Tribolium castaneum: one gene and its partner. The protein of the gene in region 1 purifies or fractionates together with the protein of each later gene. This does not show direct contact. Links are inferred from orthologs where the notes say so. Each region holds a gene or a part of one and is shown in the gene's direction. Other genes may lie near its edges.

Region 1 (4,648 bases):
CGACCGAAGCCGTTATTTTGAAAATGATTCTAACTTTTGTCTGACACCTCGTCGTAATAATGGGGCACGTAATTCAGAAAATTTGGAATATACAACAACAATGACCGAAAGTGGGGAAAAAAACAACACTGAAAATATGAACATATTTGAGGATCCTTTTAACGATTCCCTTGAGTCGGCTTTGATGAAATTCGATTGTGGTCCACCTTCGGAGCTAGAAAGTGATAAATCAAACAGTTTTGATAAAGAAGGTCTTTTTGAAAATGAGGCGAAGGAAGTGAGACATCCTTTTGATTGTCGAGAACCGTCCCCGCCTGAAATGCTAAGGAAAAATACAAACCAGATTTGTCGAAGTCGGTTCTTTCAACCAATGGCTGAGCCCAGTCATTATCAAAACCGTTCCGATGATAGTTTTCTGACACAAAAGTCACACCCTTACCCGTACCAAAGCCGTGCACCTGCACATATGTTTCCAATAAGTAATGGTCGAGGTTTTGAGACACCGAATGATTTTTACAAGATGATGTGTGAAGAGCGTCCTATTAATCGTCATTATGTGGATTTGGGTCAAAATCCTTATTTAAACATTTCACAAGATTTTCCCGACAGGAGGGAACACTACAACAGTCAGAGACACCTCTTTGATGGTACTCCTCGATGTTATCCCAGGGGGCATATGGATGATTGTGATGGTTATGCCTATATTAGACGAAACATGGATAGGGATTATGACCCCTTTGACTATAGGAATAATCCTCAGTACTATAAACCAGTACCTAATATCGATTTCTATGAGAGGTCACAAAGGAGTTTTGCCCGAAATCGGGAAAATATTCCCTTTCAGGATTTTGATCTTGATCGAAGTAATAGTTATTATGATGAAAGTCATTTACCTTTGTCTTATCCCGAATTGCCCAGTTCCCAGATGTCAAGACGAGAGTATTATATGCCGTCTAATTCATTTAACGATGTGTATAACAATAAGCAGTTGATAATGCAAAGATTCTTAAATTGTGTAGGTTCAGACCAAGAAAAAAGAGTGAATTATTTCCCTTAAAAAACAGCTTTCGAGTTACTTTTGTTACGGTTGTCGAATAAACGACATTTTGATAAAGGCGGCCATTTATTTACTAAAATTACGTTCGGCACATTATTTTATAAGAATATTAAACAGTTGGTTGCAAAAGTTGTGAATTTGGGATTTTTTAAATTTTTGTCAAAGTTTTGGTAAAAACTGAAAATACAGGTGTTTGCAATCGGTCTATATCTGAAATATAGTGAAATCTTCCGAATAACGGACACTTCTTTACAACGGACTTTGTTGTAGGAACGTAACAAAACCTACATTAAAATTTCCACCACCCATTACTGGACATCTCTCCACAACGGAGAATTAAAAATTCCCCAATTGGTGTCCGTTATTGAGAGGTTTTACTGTATTGGATAAATTATTGAGTTGCAAATAACATTCTAAGCGTTAAATTCATACTTTTTGAATAACGTATGAGTTCCGAAAAGTATCACTTGGTTATTTTATTGCCGAATTCACAAAAAAATGACAGAATTCAAAATTAGCGCTTTTTTATATGTCAAAATTCCACAGCCGCATGCGAGCAACGTGTATCGCAAACTGCTTGGTTTTCGCACAAAACGTTATTATTATCACTTGAAGCGCCTACATAATCTAAAAAAATGAGTACAATTTTAGAAAAAATCGCCGCAATCGAGGCGGAAGTAAGTACTTGTGAAAAAACCCAAAATTTCCTCCCCTAACCCCACTTTCCAGATGGCACGAACCCAAAAAAACAAAGCCACCGCTGGCCATTTGGGGCTACTGAAGGCCCGTTTGGCCAAATTACGCCGCGAACTGATCACCCCCAAAGGGGGCGGTGGCGGCACCGGCGAGGGCTTCGACGTGGCCAAAACAGGGGATGCCCGCGTTGGTTTCGTGGGGTTCCCCTCCGTCGGTAAATCCACCCTACTTAGCAACCTAGCGGGGGTTTACTCCGAAGTGGCCGCTTATGAATTTACAACGCTTACGACAGTCCCCGGCTGTATTAAATACAAGGGGGCTAAAATCCAGCTACTCGATTTGCCGGGGATTATCGAGGGGGCGAAGGACGGCAAGGGGCGCGGCCGGCAGGTCATAGCCGTCGCGCGGACGTGTTCGCTGATTTTCCTCTGTTTGGATGTTCTGAAGCCTTTGCATCATAAAAAATTGATCGAGCATGAGTTGGAAGGGTTCGGCCTGAGGCTGAATAAACAGCCCCCCAATATTTATTTCAAGAAGAAGGACAAGGGGGGGATCAATTTGAACTGCATGGTGCCCCAGTCTGAGCTTGATTCGGACACGGTTAAGTCAATCTTGTCCGAGTATAAAATACACAATGCTGATGTTACGCTAAAGTATGACGCCACCAGTGATGATCTAATCGATGTGATTGAAGGGAACCGAATCTACGTCCCGTGCATTTACATACTCAACAAAATCGGTATTTCCCCGAGTTTTTGCGTTTATTGTGATTTAGTTGGCTGAATTTCAGATCAAATAAGTATTGAGGAGTTGGATATTATCTACAAAATCCCTCACTGTGTTCCTATTTCGGCCCACCACAGGTGGAATTTCGACGATTTGCTTGAGAAAATGTGGGAGTACCTCAAACTAGTTAGGATGTAATTGAGTAATTTTTTGTTGACTTTTTTATAACTAATTATTTTAGTTACACAAAACCGAAAGGCCAGCTTCCGGATTACAATTCCCCAGTGGTTTTACACTCAGAGCATACATCTATTCAAGACTTTTGTAATAAACTGCATAGGAGCATCGCGAAAGAATTCAAATAGTGAGTTTTTTTAATTAAAAATGTTATTAACTTATTACAGACTAAGCTAATTACAATGTAATCTGATTACTCTGTATTCAATTACACTGTAATTGTATCTTTTTATTAGTCATAATTAGCTATGTGTTAATTAAAATGAAAAGTAATCGATTAATTTGCCAATAATTAGATAAACTAAAAATGATTTTAGTCTCAATTTTCTAAAGTGAAGATTATGAGTGGCAATGTTTTTTTGTTTAAATCTCTCAAAAAATGTTAACTTCTGAACACCCGCTAAAAAATTGTTCGTGTATCATGGCAAAAGATGTCCACTGTCCATATTTTCAGGAAAAAACAAGTATTCTTGTGTTGAAAGAAGAAAATTATGATGATATAAGACATTATTATTAAATGTGCACAATGGAATCCCTATTAACCCCCTTGGAGGTGGAACTTCCAAAAATAACTAATATACCCCCTTGATGATGTCAAGTAAATTTGACGCCAAAATTTTAATTTCGTAGTTTGTTTCACACAAACCTATTTGAAATTTGAATTTACCACATTAAAAAAAATGAACAAAATAACTGATAACAAACTAAATAATAATTATGTCATGTAATTTACTAACATTTTTTATAGAAAATTCTAGGATAATAAAGCCCTAACAACTAAATGCTCGGACAAATAAATATTATAAGTTATAACAAACACAGTAAAATCACTGCTGTAGATGACAGAAACTAAATAGTTAAGTAACCAAAGATAATATTTTTGCAACAAAAAGAAAATTTTGGTTATGAAGAACGTCTCATCTCATAATTTTAGAACAAAATTTGAGAAGTAAATAAATGGTTAGATAAAATATATACGTATTTGTATTTTTAGTAATAAACCCTGGAAGAAGTTGTTTATTTTCACAGCTAAAGTAATTGCTACACCGTACGTAAACATTGAAATATTTGTTTATTTAATTTGAGTAAATTTAAATTTTCGACGAAGAAGAGTCCTGGTTTTGCAACAATGTGAAAATACATTAAGTTATCATAAACTAATATATTTCCACGAAAAAACTGTTCAAAATATTGTGAACGAATTTGATATGTGCCAAGTAAAAAAATAGAAAAATCCTAGAAGATTGAGAAATATTACAACTATAATCAATTTTTTTGGCAAAAAATTATGGCGAAACATCGCAATTAATTAATAAATTAATAACAATAATAAATGAAATATATAATTAATCTTTCGTAATTGCAAAACAAGTATTCTTGTGTTGAAAGAAGAAAATTATGATGATATAAGACATTATTATTAAATGTGCACAATGGAATCCCTATTAACCCCCTTGGAGGTGGAACTTTCAAAAATAACTGATATACCCCCTTGATGATGGAATTTTTAAAAAGCATGATACAGGTGTTTTAAATTAAATTTTTTTACCAAAAATCCTACCAATTTCATAACTTCTTAAAAAAATTAAGACTACACTAATTTTAAGCCTGGGGGTGGAATTTTCAATAAATTTGAAACACCTGTTTCTTCATTTTTAATCGAGATGTCATACCAACTTTCATGATATAATTTCAAACATTTTGTTTAACAAAAAAAAATATGTAATAATTAAATAAAAATTAATCAGATTACATTAGGTAACTATGAATGAACATTACTTTAGTAATTTGTTACAAATTACATGGCTAATTGTTAATTAGATTACATTTGGTTTAAACTATTTTTTTCAGTGCCTTGGTTTGGGGCTCTTCAGTGAAGCATCAGCCTCAGAAAGTCGGCTTGGATCATATTCTTTGCGATGAGGATGTTGT
Region 2 (3,158 bases), on another chromosome or scaffold:
TCCTAAAACCATTTCTGACTTCATAGCCAACAATACAATAACACACAAACATTGAAACCATTTAGGCGATATGTAAAAATCCCCAGTTCGGGCACATCCTCAAAGTAACCAGTCACGTATCCCGCCTTCTTGTACTCATTCCAAATAAACGGGTACGAGTTCACGAATTTCGTGTTTGCGAACCGTTTTCTCGTATCAGGGAGTTCCAGTTCGGTCTTCCCCGTTAAAATCGGTATTAGGGCTTGCGGGGTTCCGTCCCCGATTATGTTATACCCTTGTAGAACGTCCCCGTGCAATATTTCAGTCAAAAACTTGTAGCTTTTGGGCAACTTTCGCACGAAAGAGTTGCGCGAAATTGAGTCGAAACCGAACATCAAAACGTTGAACTTCACAGCGTCCGAGGGTAGTTTACTCCAACTAGTATTCTCCCAAATTTTTTTATCGAGGCGAATTCCGGTCAAAGTCGCCGACCATTGGGCCTTTTGCCCCCGACACGAAACTTTGACTACATCGCTCGCTTCGAGTTTATAGTAGGAGTCTGAGTAGGTTGTTTCCCCACTGGTTGACTCAAAATCATTGACTCGGATTATATCAGTGAAAGAACAAGTGACGCGTCCGTGTCTCGCCTTAATTTCGTCCTGGATTCGACACTCGCTACCCTTGAATCAGCGTTTGAGAGTTGTGCTAAAATTCGGCAAAACTTTACTTGGCATTTGACCCAGTCCGGCCCTGCCGATGAACAGTCAATTGGGGGCTCCTCATGGACGAATTTCATCATTTCGGGGGAAAATACCGGCAAGTTGGGCTGTTTGCAAGCCAGGGAGCTCGCCTGTGAGTGAATCAGTTCGTCGATTTTTTCCCTAAAGGCCACAAATTCGAATTTACGAAAATAACTCATTCATACTCACAATCGGAATTTTCGGTCGATGTCATTTATTGGAGAGTCCCGTGTTACTATAAGTAACATCAGAATACCAAAGGCTGAAGAAATGGCCAGAAGAAACACTTTTCTGATTTGCATTGTTCTAATTATGCGCATTTTGTAACTAAAACCGTCCACTACCAACACGCCTTTAATAGCATTTGGGGTGCCTTATCACAATCATGATAACGAAAGTATTGTTTTCAACGCTTTATGGAACAAATCCATTGAATTTGTTACGAAACACAACAAAACATGATGACAAACGCCGGTGGGGCTATTTGTCACACCGATTTGTCAAATTGGATCATAGAATAAGAAAATAGCACCAAAAATCATGAACATTACAGTCGACCAAACAATCGCTGCCAAATTGGGTGCTTTCCGAAACGTCACCCTGACAAAAATCAAAAAGTTTGGACAAACTCACCGACTTATTTGTACACAATTAGTGATTCGCCCCCACGACTGCCTGCCATTTTGAGTGATATTTAATTATAATTTAATAAGCTGTATTAATTTATTGCGATTTATGGAACGTGCCAGTTTTACCAAATGTCAAAAAATGATAGGTTATGTCGTAAAGTGCCCGCCTTTTTCGTTTCATTTTCATTTTGTTAATAATTTTTAAGTGTGAAAATGGAAGTGAGTAGTGCGTCGACAACCGATGATTCATTTTACTCAAACGCCGTTCAGTATTGGTCCGAGATCCCCCCAACCATCGACGGTATGCTCGGCGGTTTCGGGCACATCTCTCAGACCGATATTAGGGACTCCAAATTGCTGCTCAAGCAGCTGTTTAACTCGAAGGAGCCCCCAGGCCGGGGGCACGCCCTTGACTGTGGTGCCGGCATTGGGCGCATAACCAAGCACCTCCTTAGCGATTTTTTCGATCAAATTGATCTAGTCGAGCAAAATCCAAAGTTTCTAAGTCAAGCCGAACAGTATTTAGGGCCCAAGTTGCAGGAGAAGGTTAATTATTATTCTGTGGGGCTCCAGAGTTTCAAGCCCGAGAAACAGTACGATGTTATCTGGTGCCAGTGGGTTTTGGGGCACTTGACAGATCTGGATTTAGTTACGTTTTTAAAGTCGTGCCAGTAAGTGTTTGCCACTTTTGGTTACAGTTTTTATTTGAAATTAATTATTCTTCCAGAAGTGGACTTAAACCAAATGGTGTCATAATAATCAAAGAAAACATTTCGTCAAGTGAGGAAATTGACAAAGACGAGCGAGACTCTTCAGTCACACGCCCCTTGTCTTTATTCCGCCAAATATTCGCAAAAGCTGACTTGGACTGTTACCGACAAGTGAAGCAACGAAACTTCCCCAAGGGCTTGTACACGGTCTACATGTTTATCCTACGACCCCAAAAACAACACGTACCTGATGAATAAAATGAAATAACTATTTTACGAAACGTTTTATTTAATTGTACAAATTAAGCTTTCAACGCGAACTTCCTCTGGGGGTAGATCGACCTCTTGTGGAGCTCCTTGGGCGTCTTGATGCGTCTCTCGTGTTTGGTGAGCGCACGGCGCAAAGCCCTGGTCTTCTTAGGTCTCAAATCCAGAGGCTTGTATTTCTTGTTCTTGTACAACTTCCGCAAATTCTCTTTTTGCTTCTGGTGCATCACAATGTACACGCGAGCGATGGCTTTGCGTACAACGCGACTGTAATTCGAGCATTACTTGGTGGCTGAAGCAAAACAACACTTACATCTTGGACAGTTTCGAGGGGGCGCCGCCCGTCACTTTGGCCACCCTGAGACTTGTGAGCTCGGTTTTGAGCTCATCGAGCTGCTTGGTGAGCTCCTTCTTGTCGCGAGTTCGCAGTTCGGAGCACTTTACCTTACCCTGAAAAAATTGTAGGTTAGTTAACCTAACGGACACAAACACGAAATTTGCGAGGAAAGAGGGAAATAACGCAATGCAAGAGTCGGGGGACGGTAATGGGGGCGAAACTTGGTCGTTTGGTTACCAGATGATCCGTAAATTATAAAATAAACTCAGATTTATTTAACTTACCATTCTGCCTTCCGCAACAACAATCTGAAAGAATTTACGTCGGTTAAGTTGGCACTACGACACCAGTTTAAATTTCTTAAATTATAAAAATAATAGTAATAGTACAAGGACCGAAACTTATGCTTCCGAAATAACAGTCTAATTATAAATACTTTGCTCAGCTGTTGCCTTTTGTATCAATTAATTAACACACTCTAAATTCAACAAAATTT

The links. The genes of interacting proteins can lie anywhere in the genome.
Region 2: the proteins of 128up (region 1) and Ntmt purify together in Homo sapiens (affinity purification with mass spectrometry; 3 studies listed by BioGRID and IntAct, counting the BioPlex papers as one, with this or other methods). This does not show direct contact. The link is inferred for Tribolium castaneum from reciprocal best matches to the Homo sapiens genes DRG1 and NTMT1.

What each region holds. Positions count from the first base shown.
Region 1 is NC_087399.1:7,814,672-7,819,319, forward strand, and holds the start of 128up (GTP-binding protein 128up), read left to right. Parts: upstream 1-1,579; 5' UTR 1,580-1,692; coding exon 1,693-1,734; intron 1,735-1,786; coding exon 1,787-2,492; intron 2,493-2,543; coding exon 2,544-2,673; intron 2,674-2,720; coding exon 2,721-2,843; intron 2,844-4,567; coding exon 4,568-4,648. Other genes in the region: probable ATP-dependent DNA helicase HFM1, read left to right, coding at 1-1,057. UniProt on the Homo sapiens protein: Catalyzes the conversion of GTP to GDP through hydrolysis of the gamma-phosphate bond in GTP. Appears to have an intrinsic GTPase activity that is stimulated by ZC3H15/DFRP1 binding likely by increasing the affinity for the potassium ions.
Region 2 is NC_087398.1:11,363,597-11,366,754, forward strand, and holds Ntmt (N-terminal Xaa-Pro-Lys N-methyltransferase 1), read left to right. Parts: upstream 1-1,318; 5' UTR 1,319-1,477; coding exon 1,478-1,494; exon of another isoform or gene 1,495-1,497; coding exon of another isoform or gene 1,498-1,502; intron 1,503-1,554; coding exon 1,555-2,019; intron 2,020-2,075; coding exon 2,076-2,316; 3' UTR 2,317-2,339; downstream 2,340-3,158. Other genes in the region: uncharacterized protein LOC659581, read right to left, coding at 1-2, 51-659, 707-860, 909-1,039; RpL35 (large ribosomal subunit protein uL29), read right to left, coding at 2,361-2,592, 2,639-2,775, 2,947-2,949. UniProt on the Homo sapiens protein: Distributive alpha-N-methyltransferase that methylates the N-terminus of target proteins containing the N-terminal motif [Ala/Gly/Pro/Ser]-Pro-Lys when the initiator Met is cleaved.